Linked DNA regions of Canis lupus familiaris. The protein of the gene in region 2 interacts with the protein of the main gene of each other region in a pairwise test. Links are inferred from orthologs where the notes say so. Each region holds a gene or a part of one and is shown on either strand. Other genes may lie near its edges.

Region 1 (9,736 bases), on a different chromosome or scaffold from region 2:
ATATCTGGCTATATTTTGTTCAGATTTGCTCTTTTATGAAATTGCCCTTGGTCCTTTTTGTATTCTCTCCCTCATTTGACACCCTCTTTCCCAACCAGCAGTTTTGGTTTTATTTCTTTGATGACACATTCTTCTTTAGATTGTTTTTGTACTTCTCTGTACTTACTAACTTGTCTCTGAGACCCTGTTCATTCATCTATAACCACCTGACACCACCTCCCAGATAGTAGACACCCAACTGATTGGTGCTGTAGTAAATTTAATTCCACACAGAAAATGATTGGGTAAAAATCAGTATCACCTTGATTAAAATTCTTCACAGTTGTGAAAATAGAGATAAATCATGGGCTTTTTTTTTTAATTTCTGCAAAACTAACTTTTCCCTATAGTATGTATTTTTCATTCCTTAAAAAGACACTATATATTTGGTCATATTTTCCTTATGAGTCTTAAACTGTACACCCTTGGAATTCATACACTCCTGTTATAAAAATGCCACAGAGATCATTAAAATAAAATTTTCCACTATAATGGATATGAAAACTGAGGACCAGAAAAATTAGGCAATTTGTTCAAAACTGCAAGGGTATCATGTGCAAGTCGATATGAGAATTGCTTCCAACTTAATTCAGAGTCTTTACATGGTGATTCCACCTCTTAATTTCAATTTTATTTTGTATTCAACTTATAGCAGTTAAATTAATAATAGTTATTTTTGGTAAAGCTCTCTTAAAACCAATAGACTATTACCCTTCCTTTTTTTTTTTTAAAGATGCCAGTATGTGTTTCTGCTGCTGTGTGACATGTTTGATATTTTAAGTGCCTAGTAACGTACAATAAGCCAATTGGGCATTCAGTTGAAGGTTGTTTTATGATGCATAACATTTGTGTTATTTATGATTATAATCAAATCTAAATGTTGACAGTGATGATTGCTATATATCAATCTTTACTCCTGCATTTTATAGTTCATCACTTATTTAAAACTGTATCTCTTTATTACCCTGTAAATAAAAAATATTGAAACCACAGAGAGAGTAACAAATCCTCACATGCAAACATAACTAGGAGGATGCTGCAGGTAAAGAAATACAGTGTTTTCCCCGGGGAGGCAAGAGATGACCTATTACAGATCACCACCCTCTTTTCTATTTGCACATGAAAGTAGAAACCACTAGTACATTAGCGTTAAGAGCCTTTTTTTCCCCGCTTAAAACATTCTCACATAATACCTAGGAGTCCAACTCTAAAAAAGGTGGAAAATTAATTATCCGCCAGAGAAAATATTTAAAAATTCATATTCTTCAGTATGGAGGTTCCTCCAAAAACTGAAAATAGAACCACCCTATGATCCAGTAAGCACACTATTGGGTATTCACCCCCAAAATACAAAAACAATAATTCAAAGGGACACAGGCACCCCTATGTTTATTACAACATTATTTACAATAGTCAAACTATGGAAGCAACCCAAGCGTCCATCAACAGACGAATGGATAAAGAGAATGTGGTCCATATACACGATGGAATATTATTCAGTCCATAGAAAATAATGAAATTTTGCCATTTGCAACATGAATAGAGCTAGAGAGTATAAAACTAAATGAAATAGAAAAAGAGAAATAACATATGATCTCACTCATATGTGGCATTTAAGTAAGCAAAGGAGCAAAGGGGAAAAAGACAAACCAGACTCTTTAACTATAGACAACTAATTGTTACCAAAGGGGACGTGGGTAGGGATTAAAAAGTATATTTATCATGATGAAAACAAAATAAAATAAAATGATAAAACAAGGGAGAAATGGCCTGGGGGGCGGGGGGGGGGGTATTCCCATTGTTTAGTTTTGTGGAAATGGTATGGTCTTTTTTAGAATTATAGTTTTTTTTTTTTAAAGGATTTTATTTACTTATTCATGAGAGACACACAGAGAGAGGCAGGGACACAAGCAGAGAGAGAAGCAGGCTCCATGCAGGGAGCCCGATGGTCTCCAGGATCACGCCCTGGGCTGCAGGCGGCACTAAACTGCTGGGCCACCCAGGGATCCCGAAATTATGGTTTTTTTTTTTTAATTTTTTTATTTATTTATGATAGTCACAGAGAGAGAGAGAGAGAGAGAGAGAGAGAGAGAGAGAGAGAGAGAGAGAGAGAGGCAGAGACATAGGCAGAGGGAGAAGCAGGCTCCATGCACCGGGAGCCCGATGTGGGATTCGATCCCGGGTCTCCAGGATCACACCCTGGGCCGAAGGCAGGCGCCAAACCGCTGCGCCACCCAGAGATCCCGAAATTATGGTTTTCTATTGGCAGATATGATCGTTTGACCTTTAATTGAATTTTAAGGACTACTTTATTTATTTATTTATTTTTTTGTTTATTTATTCATGATAGACAGAGAGAGAGAGAGGCAGAGACACAGGCAGAGGGAGAAGCAGGCTCCATGCACCGGGAGCCCGACGTGGGATTAGATCCCGGGTCTCCAGGATCGCGCCCTGGGCCAAAGGCAGGCGCCAAACCGCTGCGCCACCCAGGGATCCCCAAGGACTACTTTTTTTAAACAAATAAATAGATTTTCACGTAAAATACCTACAGGAGAACGTTGCCCCGTTAGCCTCCACCTGAAGCTACACTCCTGGAGGTCCTATCCTCTATACACGACAAAGCTACACTCATTCTGTTGGGAGGGCTCGTCACTGTCCTCGTTGACCTTGTAATTTTAGGGCATTCTTCCCTCTGAGAGTGACAGGGAAAGACGTTTCATAAAAATTTTGTTCTTCCGGGGGGGGGGGGGGGGGAGGGGGGGGGAAGTGAACTCCTCTAGATCGCGATTCCTTCACATTTTCCAAACACAGCAAAGCCCATCGGAAGCCCCACACCTCGTATCAAAAAAACTGCACAACGTGAACCCCCCGAGACTTTGAGATAGGGACAAGGCTGCCGTTCACACACTCCTCCAGCAACTCCTTGTCGAGTTTTCATGGAGTGACAGGCCCTGGGCCAGGAGCGGTTGTTATCAAAGGGAGACGCTGTCCCCGGGCCCACAGTGGGGTGGTGAGGCGGGCAGCGAGACGTCCGCGGGGGGTGCGCGGGGGGAGGGCGCCTGCCGGGGGAGCGGCGCAGCGGAGCCGGGCAGCGAGCGAGCGGGGTTAGGGACGCGCGGCGCAGCTGGCCGGCCCGGCTCCTGGGCTCCGCCCCGCGGGGCTGCCGCCTGCGCCAAGAGGCGGCGGGCGCGGGGAGGGCGCGGGGAAGGCGCGGGGAGGGCGCGGGGAGGGCGCGGGGAGGGCGCGGGGAGGGCGCGGGGAGGGCGCTCGGGCGCGCGCAGACGCCGCCCGGAGGGACAACCACGAGGTTGAAGAGTCCGGAGCTTTGAAAATAGCCGCCGGTGCGAGGGTGAGGCCGCGGCTCCCAGGCCCCGGCGGGGGATCCACGAGGCGCACCTGCTCCCGTCGCGGCGGCCGACCTGTCGCCCTGCGGGGCCCGGAGCGCACGGCCCGCCTCCAAGTTAATCATCAGCAAGTTTCTTTGTTGTTGGAAATAAGACGCGCGGTCGCGCGTAGGCTCGGGGGGCCCGGGGGGCCCGGGGGGAACCTGTCCCCCCCGCACCTTTTAAACGCCCGCCGGGAGGGAAGGAGGAGGCCGGGGGAGGGGGGCTCCAAGTCTCCCGCACGCCCACCTCCCCGGAGGGCGTGTCTCAGGTGAGCAGGACTCGCCCCACCTCCCAGCAGCCGAAGGACGCTCTCCGCTACCCGGTTACCATAACGACAGGGCGGCAAGCGCCACGCAAACCACCTCGCGCCCAGGCCCCCAGGGGCCGCCTGCATTGTCCGCCGCCCGAGCAGCGCCTCCCTCACGGCGCCTGCGCACAGTCCGCAGCGGGGAGGGGGCGGGGGAGGGAGGATGACAGCGCGCGCGAGACGTTTCCCAGAAGCCCGCGCCGCTCGCCGCCCTTCTCCCTCCCGCTCACAGGCCGCGTGACGTCACTCCGCCCGCCACGTTCCTGAGACGCTAAGGGTGGTTTGCCGGCGCCCCCCAGTGGTCCGGTGGAGCGTTGCAGCGCCGCGCGCGGGGGCCCAGCGAGCGAGGCAGGGAGCGCGGCGGGTTGGGCCGCCGCCGCCGCCGCCGCCGCCGCCGCCGCGGCCGCCGTCGTCACCGTAGCGCGCCGACATGTGGCGGCGCGGCTGAGCGGAGGGGAGGGGGGAGGAGGGAGGAGGGGGAGGGCACGCGCGGGGAGGGGAGGGGAGGGGAGGGGAGGGAGGAGGCCAGACAAGGCGGGGGGAGGGGGAGCAGCGGTGGCGCAAGTCGCGCGGAGCAGCGCAGCCCGGGGCCGCTCTCGCCGCCTCCCGACCCGGCGCCCCCGGCGACAACTCCGAGCGGGCCGCGGAGTCCATGTTGGGGAACTTGGCGTCGTGACGGGGACCCGCCGGAGCGAGCGCCTCCACCTCGGCCTGAGGTAAACGCGGGCCGGCCGCGGGGGCGGGCGGGCTCCGGCGGGCGGGGGGCGGGCGGGCGCGCGAAGTTTGCGGGTTGCGCGCGGCCCAGGCGGCGTCGCGCGCCGGGAGGAAAGTTGGAGCCGCCTGTGGAGGCGGGGGGGGCCCCTTGGTCGCCGCCGCCCCGCCGGGAGGCCCCGCTCCGGCCGCCGCGCCGTCCGCACCCCGGGGCCGGGGCCTGGCCCGCGCCCGCCGCCCGAGCCCGCGGAGGCTGCCCGCGGCGCCGCGACGCCCGCCCCCCCGACTTGGGAGACTTGGGAGACTTGGCTTTTGTCAGCCGCGTCCCGGCCCGCGCGTGAGACCAAACTTCACGGCGCCGTGACCTCCGCGCGGACGGGCCGAGGCGGCGGGCGAGGCGGCCGCGCTCCCCCCCCCCCCCCCCCCCCCGCCCCGAATTTCAAACTCTTCTCCCCCCACCCCCACCCCCACCCCCACCCCCTCGACTTTTCAGCCCGTTTCCTGGGCTGACAACAAAAGGGCCGGATCTGAACTTCTCCGGATGCGTCGCCCTCCCTTCCTCGCTCGCACCTACCGGGATCCCGTTTCTTTGGGGATCGCGCGGGCCGTCCGGCCCCTCCCCCCCCTCACGTATTTTGGAAAACCTGCTTTGGAAGTAAACGCCCGGTTGAAGTAGTCGGGTTAGAATACAGATGGAAGTGTTGAAATCGTGAGAGTTCCCCCCCCCACCCCCGCCCCCCCTCAGCGGGTTTCTGTGGAGGATTTTCGTAGCGTCCACACCGCGCGGTCTTCCTTAATCCCGGGCCGTGTTAGCAGCTAACGTCCCCGCACGCCCTCCGTGAGCCGAGGGGTTTAGGGGGAAACTGCTCAGGAGGTCCTTAAGGTTTGGCCGGTGGACGCTGGCCTTAGGTTTTCCCATTGTGGGGAATTTTTTTTTTTTTTTTAATCCCCCACTGGAAAATCAGGAAAAGCCTAATGAAGGAAGAGATGCAGTTTTCATTCTAGAAACTTAATTCAAGCATGTGGCTCCTTCCCTCAGAATATGGGACGCGAAACATTCTTCAGTAACTGGTGGTTTTTGTGTTGTTGTTTGTTTTTATTGGTAATTAATTGTATTACAATTTTGATAAGGTTCAAATCTCTAGACCGCCGCTTTCTCTTTCCTGTTTTTTTGGCAGTTGCCTTAAATCGTCCCCCCCCCCCCTTTTTTTTTTTTCTTTTTTTTGGCCGTTGGTTAAAAGCTGCAGTAAAGAAGTTTGTGGGATTTTAATTTTTGTTGCTTTGATTGATTGAGCAGATAAAGATTTGGCATTGGCTTTGAGTTTGTTTTATACTCTTCTCTGGAAGATAATCTGAATTTACTTTTTATATGCTTAGTTTATGCCATAGGAGTTTTTAAAGTTATTCTCAACTGTAGCTGCACTTTTTCATTATAATTTTTTTTTTTGGTGCAAGTATATTAATCAGTGTACGTTCAGATGGTGACCTTTCTGCCTGAGAGTTTGAGTATGCTTTTTTTTTTTTTTTTTTTTTTTTAAAGGATTTTGAGTACATTTTAAGATTTTGGTCGGATAAGATTAGGATGTTTGCTTACTTCCAGTGTACTCACGCTGTAAAAACATTTTTCGATATGTCAAGGGGGAATAAAACTGTAGAGGCAAAGAGAAAATTGTTGGTAAATATATTGCCTGCCTGAAACGTGTAATGGAGAAAACTTTAAGCGTGATTTGTTTTGTCACGTCTTTAGGTAATGGCAGTGGGATCCATGAGTTAAGACTGAAACTCTTCAGGGGTCACCCAGCTTCCCCATTATTTTTTGGGCACTAGCCTGTGTTTAGGCAATTTTCCTGAAAAGCTGTGCTGTTATAGGAGGAAACCGTGCAGTTGGCTGATGTTGATTCACCATTAGTAGCATGTTTTAATAGTAGGAGAGTACACTACTACTCACCGACTTAACACTGAGCTTTTTAGATACACCAATGAGATAATTATAAAGCCTAACTAAAGAGAGTGGCAGAGATAGAGGTAATAAAATCTCAGCCTTAGAATGATTTTCATTTTAACTTCCCTTTTGCAAGCTCTACCATCATCATCTACCCTTACCTTTAAGTGATGTGTGTTGGATCTTGACTTACCTTGCCCACTGAAATAAAGAAGCTTCAAACCTAAATTCTTAGTTATACTCTCTATCTGAAAGAATAAATTAGCAGGTTTGCACCTTATCTTGCATCTGTATTCTAACTGGTAGTAGCACTGAGTAGGGCTCAGAGTTAAAATACCTAGTATTCTCTTGGTATTATTACCAAGACTCATTTTTGTATTGTCATTGTTGTCTTTCTTTAAAAGTCGTAGATTTGTTAATTCTAGTACTTAGGCAGATATGGTTCTACTGTAAAATGTGAAAACAGTACCATCCTCTCTTACTTGCAAAATAGTTTCCTAAAAAGTCTCACTATGACCTTTGCTTACCTATATGGTCTTTTACGCTCAACTGCCAGAGTGATCCTGATGAAATTTGTCAAATCATGTTACTTTTCTTCTTAACTGGCTTCCCTTCTCATAGTAAAATCCAAGTCCATGGTTTACCAGGCTGTGAGTGTTTTGAGTCTCGTCTTCCTCTCTCGACTTGATTACCTCATTCTTTGTCCAACTGACTTCTACTCTCCTACATAAGTTTTCTCTGACTGCTCTGTCAAAACCAAACCTTCCTCCCGCATTTCCTACCACTTTTTAAGCCACATTTTCTACATAGCATTTATCACTTTCTAACATACTGTATAATTTACTATCTTAAGTTTATTGTATTTCTTCTTCACTTTAATGAAAGTTCTGTGAGAACAGGGTTTGTCAGTTTGGGCCATTGTTTTGTCCCCAAATGCTGGCACAATGCCTAATACGTAGTAGGTGCTTAGTAAATATTTGATTAATCTCCTTTCTGCTGGAAACGTTAAAACTTTAAAGATAGTAATTATGGTTTGAAACATTACCCAGCTCTCACTCTTTTGCATAGTTACTTGGGTCTCTGCTTTATATTCAGTTCAGGGGACATTTTTAAAGAAGCATATATAGAATGTGAACTTGAAACTGATTTATCAGGATATAGTTGGAAATAAGAATACTTAGCTAAGGGTAGAGTGGTATAATTGTCTTTCTGTTTAAAATCCATTAAATATTTACTAAGCACCTACTACGTATTAGACATTGTGCCAGTATTTGGGGACAAAACAAGAGATCACCAGGCCTCTGTTGATGAATGGAAAGTGAAGGACAGAAATTTGAACCATCAACTCAAGGAAACAGCTGGATTGATGGTAATACCACATAGGGTTCAAGGTTCTTTTGATTCTGACATCTTGCATTTAAAGTACCTCTGGAACTTTTCAGATGGAAATTTCTGTAGGCAATTAGATAATATGGTTCTAAATTTCAGAGGAATTGTGCTTGGAATAGAAAATTGGTGTCACTTATGTAGGTAGTTGAAACTATAGGTGGAATTGCCTAAGGGAGGGACTATAACTGGAATGGAATCACAGTGGCCTATAACATTAAAAAAAAAAAAAAAAAGTTTGCTTGGGTGAATGGAAGTTCCCCAAAACTACTGTGAAGATCAGAGAAGTACAAGGTGAGTGTGATATTACAAAAACTAAAGGAAGAGAGTATTTCAAGGAAGAGTAATCAGTAGATTCCAGTGTTGATGAGAGTTGAGTAATGTAAGAGTTTTAAGATTTTGCTTTTTTTTTTTTTTTTTTCTTTTTTTAGAGACGAGAGAGAAAGAGGGGAGGTGCAGAGGGAGATAAAATGGTAAGCAGGTGCCATGCCCGGTGTGGAGCCTGGCGGTGGGCTTGATCTCACCTCCCTGAGATCATGACCTGATACGAAATCAAGAGTGGGGATGCTTAAGCACTTAAGCAGGACTCAGCCACCCAGGTGCCCCAAGAGCTAAAAGACTTTTCACTGAATTTAACAAGGAGCTCATTGGCCTTTGAATAAGCAAGGTAGTAAGTTTCTTATTTTCCAATTGATGCTCCTGTAATTGCTGAAGTAGATTAAAAAAAAAAAAACAACTGAGATCAAACATTAAGAAATTAGCTGTCTACATTACAGAAGAGACCTAATGTTTGTTGGATATTTCCTGTGTGCCACCCTCTCTGTTTTAGACATTTTACATAAATTTTCATTTGACCTTTTCAGTAGCCTTGCTATGTTGGGTATGTTAATCCTTTTTATGGAAAGGAGTCTGAGGCTCTAGAGAAGTTATATGACTTGCTAAGTGTCAGAGCACTTGTTAAGAATATACACTCAAGTCCGTTTGACTCTTGGGCCTTTAGTCTTTAGTTATTCATTGTGTCTGTGGGTTGGCCTCTCAAACTCTAGGTCAGCGCTATCTAGTAGTAGACTTTTCTGTGATGATCGAAGTGTGTGTACTGCCAATACAGTAGTAGCTAATGTGGCTGTTGAGCATTTGAAATATGGCCAGCGCGACCAAGGAACTGAGTAGTCGTTATGGTGCAGATATAGATCAAAAGTCATTAAGAACCTCATAAATAATAAAGCAGAGTCATAATTAGAAGAGGTGGAAACATATTTATTTGGGAAGAGTACTGTTTTACTTATATGCTAGTTTTAGGTGCTATAAATGAACATTGTAAATTAACTTTTTCTTTTTTAAAAACAATTTCAAACTTTCAGAAAAGTTCAAGTAGAATACAAAAGACTTTTTTCCCCGTAGCCATTTGAGAATAAGTTTCAGACACCATCCCGCTAAGGCCCCAGTACAAGTACGAAGTTTTTTTCAAACCCTGAACCATTTGGGAGTAAGTTACGATGCCTTCTCATAGCCCCAAACCCAGGATAAGGACTTTCTTTTATATAAATATATCAAAATCAGGAAATTAACATCACTATATTATTACAATTTAACTCTCAGACCTCATTTAGGTTTTGCCAGTTTGCATAGTAGTTTCATTTAAGAAGAGGATCCAGTCTAGAGTCCTGCGTTGCATTTAATTGTAATGTCTTTTTACACTCCTTCAACCTAGAACAATCCCTTGTTTTTCCTTAAATTTCATGACCTTGACACGTCAAAGGATTACAGGTTAGTTTTGTTGTTAAATGTCTCTCAATTTAGATTTGCCTAGTATTTCCTTATGGCTGGGTTCAAATTGTGCAGGAGTGTCTCAGCAATGATGCTGTGTTCTCATTGCATCCTATTGGATGGCATACAATTTTCTTTTTGTGCCATTACTGATGATGTACACTTTGATCATTTGATTAAGATGAAGTTTCCCAAGCT
Region 2 (9,957 bases):
CTCCCAGACCCCAAAGATCAGCTTGCTTCCTTCCTGACTCCTGCCTTTGCTGATGGGCAGGACCCTGTGGCCATGTCAGGGCTTTCCTTTCCCAAATCTTTGGGAAGTCTAACTTCCCTGTTTTGGGGAGTCTAACTTCTCCCTTCTGCATGATGTTCAGCCCTTGCCTGGCTCTTTCCCAGGACTCCATATCCCCCTGTGAATCACCTGACAGCCTGGGCAAGGGCTCTGTTTTCTCAGCATCTGTGTTACTGGGGACCCCTTTGCTCTGGAACCACCTGTGGCCCAGGGTGCTGATGGGAACCAAACTAGGATGGTGGGGCCCAAGGGCCCTCTGGACTTTTTCAGTGAGGTCCCACTGAGTCCCCAGAAAACCCCTCCTCCACTGTGGGAGCCTGTGGTCAGAGAGTCTCGGAGGTGTCTGGTCCTGTCTTGGTCCTCTCAGTCCTTCCCCCCACCTCTTGCCCTAAAGTTAAGGAGTCAGAGGAGCATGAAACCATGCCCCACCTGTGATCTTTACCCCCAAATCCAACCAAGTGTACTGTGTCCAGTCATCTTGGTGGGAACTGCAGCATCTATACTGCATTTTCTGTTTGTCTTGGGGGCTCCAGTCGGGCCCAGTTGAAGCCCCTACCACCATGTGTGATGTGACACCATCCCCACCTTGGAGATAGTCTCTTGCCTCCTTCTGCCTCCTGTTCTGGAAGTTCATGTGTATGGGTCTCTCTCTCTCTCTCTCTCTACCTCTCTCCAGAGGATCACTGCCGGGTGAAGCCTGGGTCCAGGCGGGTTGAGGGGGATGGCAGGGGTGGGGCTGGGGGCGAGGCCTCAGACCCGGAGTCAGCGGCCTCCTCGCTCAGTGGAGTGTCTGAAGAAGGCAGTACGATGGAGAGGAAGAGGCAGAAGCAGAAGGGAGGTGCTGGCCGGAGGCGCTTTGGGAAGCCCAAGGCCCGGGAGAGGCAGCGGGGTGAGCAAGGCGCATGCAGGGTGTGGGAGCTCAGGGGTTCTGGGCTGGGGGCTTGCTGTGACCGTGGGGAGGCCCTTCCTGTTCCCCTGGCCTGGTTGTGTGTCCCAGCCTATCATGGGGTCTTACTTTGGATCTGAGCCTCAGCTGGGCTGCGGATCCTCCTCCCTGGGCCTGCCTTCTCCTATTTTCCACTTGTCCCACTGTCTCTATGTCTCCCAGCATCTCCTGTCCTCTTGATTTCTGCGGTGTTCCCTGGCTCTCCCTGTGTTGGGCTCCCTGTCTGTCCTTGCCCCATCCCTGTTCCTCACGTCACTCTCTCTGCCCTGCAGTGAAGGATGCAGACGGTGTCCTCTGCCGCTACAAGAAGATACTGGGCACCTTCCAGAAGCTGAAGAGCATGTCCCGGGCCTTTGAGCACCACCGCGTAGACCGCAACACGGTGGCGCTGACCACGCCCATCGCGGAGCTGCTCATCGTGGCCCCGGAGAAGCTGGCGGAGGTAGGCGAGTTCGACCCTTCCAAGGAGCGTCTGCTCGAGTACTCGCGCCGCTGCTTCCTGGCCCTGGACGACGAGACCCTCAAGAAGGTGCAGGCTCTCAAGAAGAGCAAGCTGCTGTTGCCCATCACCTACCGCTTCAAGCGGTGATCCCACCCTACTTGTCCCTCCGTGCCCCTCCTGGCACCGGGCGGGCGTGTGCATGAGTGGTGTGCTCCTCCCGAGAGCCTAGGGGCTGGCGGCGTATTTCCCACCCAGGTCACTGGCCCCCTCCTCTCCTCTCCCGTCCCTGGCACCTTCTCCTTCGTCTGCATTCCCCGGGGAGGGGCGTCTACTTAGCTGGGCTCACCGGAGCCGCCGCGCAGGGCTCTGCCTTTCCCCAGCACTGGCCCCCTCCTCTGCCCCGGCGGGCCCCTGCTTCCTGGGGTGACTGCGAGACTCTCCGCGGGGCCAGGCACTCACTGTACATAGCCCGTCCCCATCCCAGCCCCGAGGAGAGGCTGGCCGGCTCTGCCAGGAGCTCTCCACCCGCATTCCGGACGAATAATTATTCAGAGGATTTAAATTAAAGAGAGACAATAAAATTTGGAATAAACTCGGCCCGGCCTCTTCTTAGAGGGGGTGTCCGTTGCCGCGGAGATGGTGACGGGAGCTCCGGGGAGTTGTATGGGGCGGGCGGTTAGGCAGGGAACCGGAGCTTGGGGAGACAGGACGTAATTAGCACCCCCAGCGGCACGGCAGGGGCGGGAGAAGGAGCAGCAGCCGTGCCCCGGAGAGCTTGGAGGGGCCACCGCCCCCCCCCCCCCCCCCCCGGTGAGCTCCAACAGAGGCGCGACGGCGGCGGGCGGCGGGGGACGCGGGACAGGCCGCGGCGGTGGGGGCAGGGAACGACAGGTCTGGATGGAAGCTACCACGCCCGCCCGCCAGGAGGCGGTACTGTCAATTACCGGTCTTCCGGAAGTGCCCTCTACGTCGCCTACTGCGCCTGCGCTGCAGGAGGGGCGCGAGCGTGCTTACACAGTTGCTACAGCAACCAGGAGAAGGCCGCTGTGCTTAACGGACTAAAATTCAGTACCTTCCCCGGAGTAAGGGAAAGTCTCGCGCACGCGTGCTGGGGCCTCTGGAACCCGCTCACCTCCCAAACAGTGAGAAACCGCGCCTCAGACCAACCTCTACGCAAGCGCAGAAGCCCATCTCGCGCCCCTCCTCTGCCCCTCTGCGCAGGCGCACAAAGCCGCGCTGGCAACCTCCGCAGCGGCCGCGCGCACCCTTCACCCCGCCGGCTGCTTTTGTCTCGCGCAAGCTTTTTAGGCCCTCCGCGAAATCCGCCCTTCTTTTCCTCCACTCTTCCCACCCGGAGAGCCAAGTGCAGAGAGCCGGGACCTCGCCCTTTCTCTGTATCCCTTTTCCTGACCAACCTCATCTCTGTCCTCCCTCCCTTTTTCCGTTCCCGAAGCCGGAAGGAGCCGAAGCGCCGACGGAAAAAACCGAAGCTATCTGCCGTGAGGCCTTCCCGAAGCGGTGGCGGAAGGAGCCGAAGTTTACCGGCAGGGGAGGAGTAAGTGTACTATCCGGAAAGAGCCGAAGCTTGGCGTCGGGTTTAATCCTTCGGCTGGGTCCGAGAGCCCTCGCTGGAAACCTTCAGAAAGCGCAGGAGTCCGAGAGTGTTAGGATTGTCGGAAATAGCTGATTGCTTGGATAGAGCCGGCGGAGAGGAGCGGGCAGTATCTGCGGAAGCAGCCAAAGACTGGGACGGTTTGAATTGTCGGAAGAAGCCGAACCCCTCGGGGGGGGGGGTAGGCGCAGAGGAACGCGCGGACCTACGGAAACACCCGAACGTTGAAGAGCTAGTTTACGAAAAGTTACGATAGCTTGGGAAGCCGGTGAAGTCTTCGCTTCGGGTGTTTTCGGAGGCAGCCGAAGCCGCTGCTCCCGATTCCTTCTACTGCCCGGAAATAGCCGACGCTATTTGGAGCCCGGCTCTGGGGGGAGGGGCGCGTCGCGGGTGGGCGGGCGGGGAGAGGGGCGGAGCAGGGGCGGGGCGGGCGGCCCGGGCTTGATTAAGTAGGAGGCGGCGGAGCGCCGGCGGCGGCCGGAAGTAGCCGAAGCGAGCGGCGGAAGTAGCCGAAGGGGCCGGAGCGGGCGGGCGGCAAGGCGAGGCCAGAGCTGCACAGGGCCCTTACGCGGCCGTCTCAGCATGTCGGACTTCGACGAGTTCGAGCGGCAGCTCAACGAGAATAAGCAAGGTGAGGGCGCCGGGGGCGCAGGGCGGCGGGCGGGTCGGTTCCTGGCCTCTCTCCGTGTCCCCCGCCATTTTCCCCCGCTCTTCCCCCTCCTTTCAGGGCCGCGCGGCGCTCCCCCCCACTTCGCCGCGCGCCTCGCTCACGTGACCACCCGGCATGCAGCCGCGCGCGGGAGGGGAGGGGAGGGGAGGGGGCCGCGGGCGCGGGTCCCGGACGCATGCGCGGCGCGCTCCGCTTTGCGCCCCACGTGGTCCGCGGTGGAGGCGGCGCGGGCCCGCGGGCTCGCTGGGTGTTCCCTGGCGGACTAAGCACTCCCATATATTTAAAAAAATTTTTTTTAAAATCTGAAAATAGGTTTTATGTGTATTAGGTCCCGCAGTGCTTCCTTTCTTTCCCGCTGTCCCGGCACTTCCGCTTCTGGCCGGGCCCGCGGCCCGGGTCTCCACGCCCCTTTTGTCCCAAAATGGCCGTTGCGAGCTCCCCACGTGGGCGTGGGTCGGGGGGGACGCCGGCCCGGGGCAGTGAGCGTGTCGCGGTACCTTTTGCGGGAGAGGACACTCGTGCGTGTCCCGACCCGGGTTGGAGGTGGCGGGGGCACGTCATCCCACACAGCTGTCGGGGCGCGGGGCCGCGGGTTTTCCGACGGGCACAGGCGGTGGGCGCTGCCGCGCTCCGTCTGCCTCGACTGCTCGTGGGAGGGACGCCGGCGGGCGGGAGGGCCTGCCCCGGGTGGCGTCGGTCTCTGCGCCACGTGCAGCCGGGCGTCCTGGGCTCCCGTCCCGGCGGCCCTGCCGCTCTCACGGCTGTACAGCGGCTCGGTGCCTTGTCCCTGAGTCTGTGGGCGAGGGAGGGCGGTCGTAACTACGGTGGAGGTCAGACCTCGAGCGCTTGCCAAGTGCATCCTTGCGAGGCTCGAGAGATATTTTTCTTGCCGTAGAGGGGGAAACAGGTTTCTCAGGCCTTAGCTGTGACAAGGCCGGGCGGAGTTTACGTGGGGGTAGCGCGTAGAAGCTTGTGACGGGGTCTACGCTAAGGGCGGAGGAAGCGATCTACTGGCCACTGTGCAGTTATTCTCGGGGTGATGTCATCCTAGGACCTGGAGAGGACCACGGCGGGGAGAGTGCTCTCCTAGTGCCTTTCTGCCAGGTCCCCACACACCTGGGTTAGGTGGGACCCTTGTTCACAGGAAGGTTTGTTGGCTTCTGGGCGGTTTCATACCCGTACAGAGCAGAAGTCCACCTGAGTGTGGTTGGTGGCGGGGCTGCCAGGTGGACCTGCCTGAGCTCCTTAGGCAATCGCAGATGTGTGCCTCGGTTCTTCCTGGCGCTGGGAGGCCAGGCCCTCAGCCCTGCACGGCCCCTGGGTTGGTGGAGCTGTGCGCACAATGCAGCCACAGACTTCTGAACAACTGAAGCACCTTTTCTGTTTTCTTTGTCCGGGATATCTGTGTGTGGGGAGGCAGGAAGCTCCGTGCACGTCTGCCCTGCCTGTGGGTGGGTCTCTGGACCAGCCTGAGTGAGGCCTTCAGCCCTCTGAGAGCCCTTCAGACCCAGCGTCGGGCAGGTGTGTCCTCGGAGAATTAGTTTCCTTGTGTGGTTGCAGGCTCCCAGCAGGCATCACTGCTTCCTCTCCCCTGGTTCTTCTGCCCGCTTGTTTTGTTTGTTTCAGAGCCTCAGCTTGCTCATTTTATAAGCTTGCCGCCAGAGGCCCGCAGCCCCACAGCCTCCTGCCATGCTGGTGTGTTTCTTTGCTGCTCTTCTTTGCTTCAAGTGTCTGGTTTAGGTTTTATTTATTCGTGTTCAGAGAGATAACATTGTTACTAGTGGTTCTGGGTGGACTACAGCAGCTTTGCCTGTCCTGAGTTGAGTCTGCCCAGGTGATGATTAGCTGTACTTGCTAACATTAGGGAATTCACCTTCAGTCTTCACCGTCTTTTTGCTTTTTGGTTATGAGCAAGTTATGTGAACTCTCTGTGCCTCCGTTTCCATATTTTTTGTTTGAACGAATAGTAGTGTTTTTTTCCAAACAGTTGTAAGAATTGGCAGTATAGGTGGGTTTTAGAAGTATTCTTGTGTTTGCTCATCTGTTTTTTTTTTTTTTTCCTGAGGTGCTTTTCCTTAGTTTTATGGGTTCTAGAGTTGATTTGTTTGTAGAAAGTTGACGTTTAAAGTTTCAGCATAAAGTAGCACGGATGAGGCTCAAGTCCACTTTAACACCCCGTCCTTGTTGCCTTTACCTGTATCCGTCCATAGAACGGGGCTAGTGGAGGAGGGTGAGGGGTGTCTTTGAGTTAAGGAATAAGGAAACCTGCTGTGACGTGGTGCTCATAGCTTGGCCTGCACATCCTTCCCAGGGTCTTTTGAGCGGAGTTTTCTATGGTTTATACGGGCTAGGCTTGTGCTCCGTTCTTTTAGTCGCCACCCCCAAGGCTGAAGGGGTTGAGTGAGCCTACTAGGGGGCTGGACCCTGTCCCTCTTGTGTTGGCTTTGAGGGAGTGTGGGCAGGATAGGGTGGTTTGGGAATCTGGCCTGCAAGGGGTAGGGGGCAGGGCATGCTCCTCCCCTACCTCTTGAGGCAGGGCCCAGCACCTCCCTTTCTAGGCCACATTCAGAAGGGAGCACCTCCCTACAAGAGGGCATCTTGCATTCTTTCTCTGGTTGGGAAGGGACCATCAGGTGTCCTAACTTCTTGGGGATACCAGATCCTGCCTTGCACCTGCCCCTGGGGCCTGATGGTGGGGCTGTGGGTGCCAGCTGGTTGAGGAGGTCTTTCCTGAGGGGTCGCCAGTTTCCTTCATTCAGGAAAACATCATTGGGTCTCTTGATTCCCCAGCCTCTAGCCCTGCCCCTCTCAGGGACGACCCTGGGGTCAGGCCCCTCAGCCCTCGAGGGGGACCAGGAGCCAGCCTCCTCTGTCTTCTCTGGCTCCCCAGCTCCTCCTGAGCATCCTCAGGTATCTTACACCCCGTGGGCATTTCCAGGCTCTGTCCCCTCAGGTAACCAGCTCCTGTCCCCTGGGACCCCCAGGGCTCCTGGACTGGCTTGTGGACCCAGGAAGCCTGCTATATTCCCTCCTCCACTGAATCCCTTCCCCTTGGGGGGTGGGTTCCCTGGGGCTCGGGGCATAGCCACCAGTGAGTGGGTGGGCTGGGCCATGTCCTCCCTCAGCTCATTCTCCTCCCCCTCCCCTGGCCCAGAACGGGACAAGGAGAACCGGCACCGCAAGCGTAGCCACAGCCGCTCGCGAAGCCGGGACCGCAAGCGCCGGAGCCGGAGCCGTGATCGGCGCAACCGGGACCAGCGGAGTGCCTCCAGGGACAGGCGGCGACGAAGGTACCAGGGCTTGGGGACCCCTGGCTGGGAATGGAGTGTCCTTGCACCCAGACACTGGTGTGCTTCGGCCTCTTGAGTTCTCTGTGTGTGTGTGTCTAGGTGTCTGTTACTTGTCTGTCTTGCATATGGGCTTTTTTTTTTTTTTTTTTTTTTTTTTTTTTTTATACTCTGTTTCTAGAGTCTTCAGTTTCTGGTGGGTTGGTGGGGGCATTGGGTTCTTTATCATGGAGGTGAGTCTGGATTCAGGGTGCTGACTCTTCTGTGTTGTGTTCACGAGGCCTGGCTCAGTCCCTGCCTCCTAGGACCCGTTTCTTTTTCCCATTATTATTCTGTGTTTTTCTGGGATTGTATTCTGGGGTCTATACTCTGCCTCCTGGGAAGAGGGGTTCTCAAAGTGGGGCAGCCTCTGTGAACCCAGCTGCCATCTGCTTTGCTAATGCTTCTTCCCTCCCTAGCCTCCCCTCTGTTTTCTTTCCCCTTAAGCGAGGAAGGGTAGGGTAGGTGGAAGTTCTGCCTTCTTACATTTCAGTTTCTCCAAGTAGAAAGTGATCTGTGTGGCCTTTCATCCCTTCCACAGTTCCTCTTTCCTGGGTTGGGGGTTTGGGGGGGATGGCAGGGCCAAGGGGGCCTGCCCCCAGCCCTGGGGCTCTGTGCCCTTGGGGAGGTGTGGCGTGTGGGGAAAACGAGGGTCCCCAGTCACCCTTCCCCATACCTTTCCCTCCCATCCCTCAGCAAACCTTTGACCAGAGGCGCTAAAGAGGAGCACGGTGGATTGATGTGAGCTGCTCTTCCTGCCCCTTCCACCCTGATGTCCACTCCCTCTGCCCCTGCCCTCGTGTACCCTGCCCTGTCCTTGTCCAGCCCTGGCCCAAGCACTGGGGAAGAGGTTCCACTTGCCTTGAAACCAGCACCCTTCCCGAGGCCTGGGTACAGCCCTGACCAGATCCTCTCCCTCCTGGAGAGCACTGCACTCCTAGTGGGTAGCTGAGGGGAGCCTGGGGTGCTCACAGGCCCACCTTTGGTCAGACTGAGGTCGTCCTGCCCGGCTCTCCCTTCCCCCTTCCCAGTCGTTCCCCCCGCCATGAGAAGAAGAAGAAGGTCCGTAAATATTGGGATGTCCCCCCGCCTGGCTTCGAGCACATCACCCCCATGCAGTACAAGGCCATGCAAGGTAGGTTTCAGCTGTCGCCTCCTTGGTGGAGAACATGCTAGGTGGTTGAGGGAGCAGATCCTGAGCTGGGGGGCAGGGGGGATAAGGTTTGTGTCCCGGGCTTTCTGGATTTTGCCTTTTTGACCACTGCAGAAGAGGTGCTGTGAGGTTCCCATGGGGAGCTGAGCCTGTGTGGGCTGGTCCACAGGGAGCTGCCTCCTCCCCTATCCAGGCTCTCCCACCAGTGTGCTGGGGGTGGGATGTGTGTGTAGAGGATTGCCAGGTTGCCATCTAATCCTGCTCTTCCTTCTCCAAGCGGCGGGTCAGATTCCAGCCACCGCCCTCCTTCCCACCATGACCCCTGATGGCCTGGCTGTGACCCCGACGCCGGTGCCCGTGGTCGGGAGCCAGATGACCAGACAGGCCCGGCGCCTCTACGTGGGGAACATCCCCTTTGGCATCACTGAGGTACTGCCTACCCCCTGCCTTTTCCCTGCCCTCTCCCCAGTTCCCTCCCATTCCTCCCCTCTCCCCCTCCCCTCCCCCAACCTGCACGGGTCAGACTCTGCCTCCTGCAAGGCCCCCCGGCCCCCTCCCCGACGGACCGATGGAGTTGAGCCAGCCAGGGGCCGGGCTGGGGGTGGCCCTCTCCCTCCCTCCTCTTCCCCTCTCCCGTCTCCCCTTTCCCAACCTCCTCCAGCAACCCAGGGATCAAGGCACACACAACGAACCTACGAAAATCCATGAGTCCAGTCCGTATCGAGAGAGACAGAGAGGGAGACTCGCACGCGCGCGCGCACGCACACTGACACACGCACACACGCACACACGCACACACGCACAGACGCACGCTCCCCTCAGTTGTCTCTGACACACCTCTGGTTCTCTGCCGCCTGTTCCCATCCTCTCCCCACGTCCCTCCCGTGGTCGCTGCTCTTTTGTTTTGATGGCCCTGACCTCCCCAACCTTCCCCACCACTCCTCTCCCCTCCCTCCCCCCCACCCCTTCCCGTGGCACCCCGAGAATCCCGAGATCAAAGAGTTGTTTCCATTTCTCTTTAAAGTGAAATATTGTGGGGCTGAGATCCCTCGTAGCAACAAAAAGTTTGCTACCGTCGTCGAAGGCAAGTAAGGTCCATTCTGACTTTCTCAACCTGCACTTTGCTACGTTTGATAAAGCAGCCCCCGGACTCCAGGGCCAGATCCCGCCACATCACTCTTTTCTCCCCCTCCCACCCTTCCTCCCTCCCTCCGCCCTCTGCCCTCCTTGTCCCTTGGCTCCTCTTCCTCTCCCAACTCCTTTTCTTCTCTGGACTTGTCTTCCTCTCTGATTCTTCTCCCTTGTCTTTCCTGCTTTCCTGCTGTGCCTTCTTCCTGTCCTCACGGGATGTGCTCTCTCTCTCTCTCTCTCTCTCTCACCTTCCACCTCCCTGTTTTCTATTTTATGCTTTTTCTTCTTTTCCTGTCATTGCCATTTCTATGCGTTTTTCTTGAATGACGTGTCTCTGGTTGGGGCCCCTGCGGTCCTCCCCACACTCCTGGCCCCTGGCTGTCTTTTGCTGCTGCCTCCTACTCCTCCTTGCTTTCTCTAATCTTCTCCTGTCTCTGTCCCTGCTGATCTCTCTGCCCCCACCCCTGTTCCACTGCTCCCTCCCTTTCTCCTTCCACCCTCCCTTTCCCTTTCCCTCCCCTCCCCCCCAAACCCCTCTGTGTCTCCCTCTCTCACCCTCCCCTCCTCTCTCCACCTCCCTCCCCCCGCCCCCCCCCTGT

The links.
Region 1: the proteins of U2AF2 (region 2) and SCAF11 interact in binary tests that used the Homo sapiens proteins (3 or more experiments, as listed by UniProt). The link is inferred for Canis lupus familiaris from reciprocal best matches to the Homo sapiens genes U2AF2 and SCAF11.

What each region holds. Positions count from the first base shown.
Region 1 is NC_049248.1:38,222,958-38,232,693, reverse strand, and holds the start of SCAF11 (protein SCAF11), read left to right. Parts: upstream 1-4,256; 5' UTR 4,257-4,448; intron 4,449-9,736. UniProt on the Homo sapiens protein: Plays a role in pre-mRNA alternative splicing by regulating spliceosome assembly.
Region 2 is NC_049222.1:102,851,048-102,861,004, reverse strand, and holds the start of U2AF2 (splicing factor U2AF 65 kDa subunit), read left to right. Parts: upstream 1-3,660; coding exon 3,661-3,709; intron 3,710-6,902; coding exon 6,903-7,038; intron 7,039-7,770; coding exon 7,771-7,815; intron 7,816-8,105; coding exon 8,106-8,209; intron 8,210-8,504; coding exon 8,505-8,656; intron 8,657-9,957. Other genes in the region: CCDC106 (coiled-coil domain-containing protein 106), read left to right, coding at 755-967, 1,297-1,613. UniProt on the Homo sapiens protein: Plays a role in pre-mRNA splicing and 3'-end processing. By recruiting PRPF19 and the PRP19C/Prp19 complex/NTC/Nineteen complex to the RNA polymerase II C-terminal domain (CTD), and thereby pre-mRNA, may couple transcription to splicing.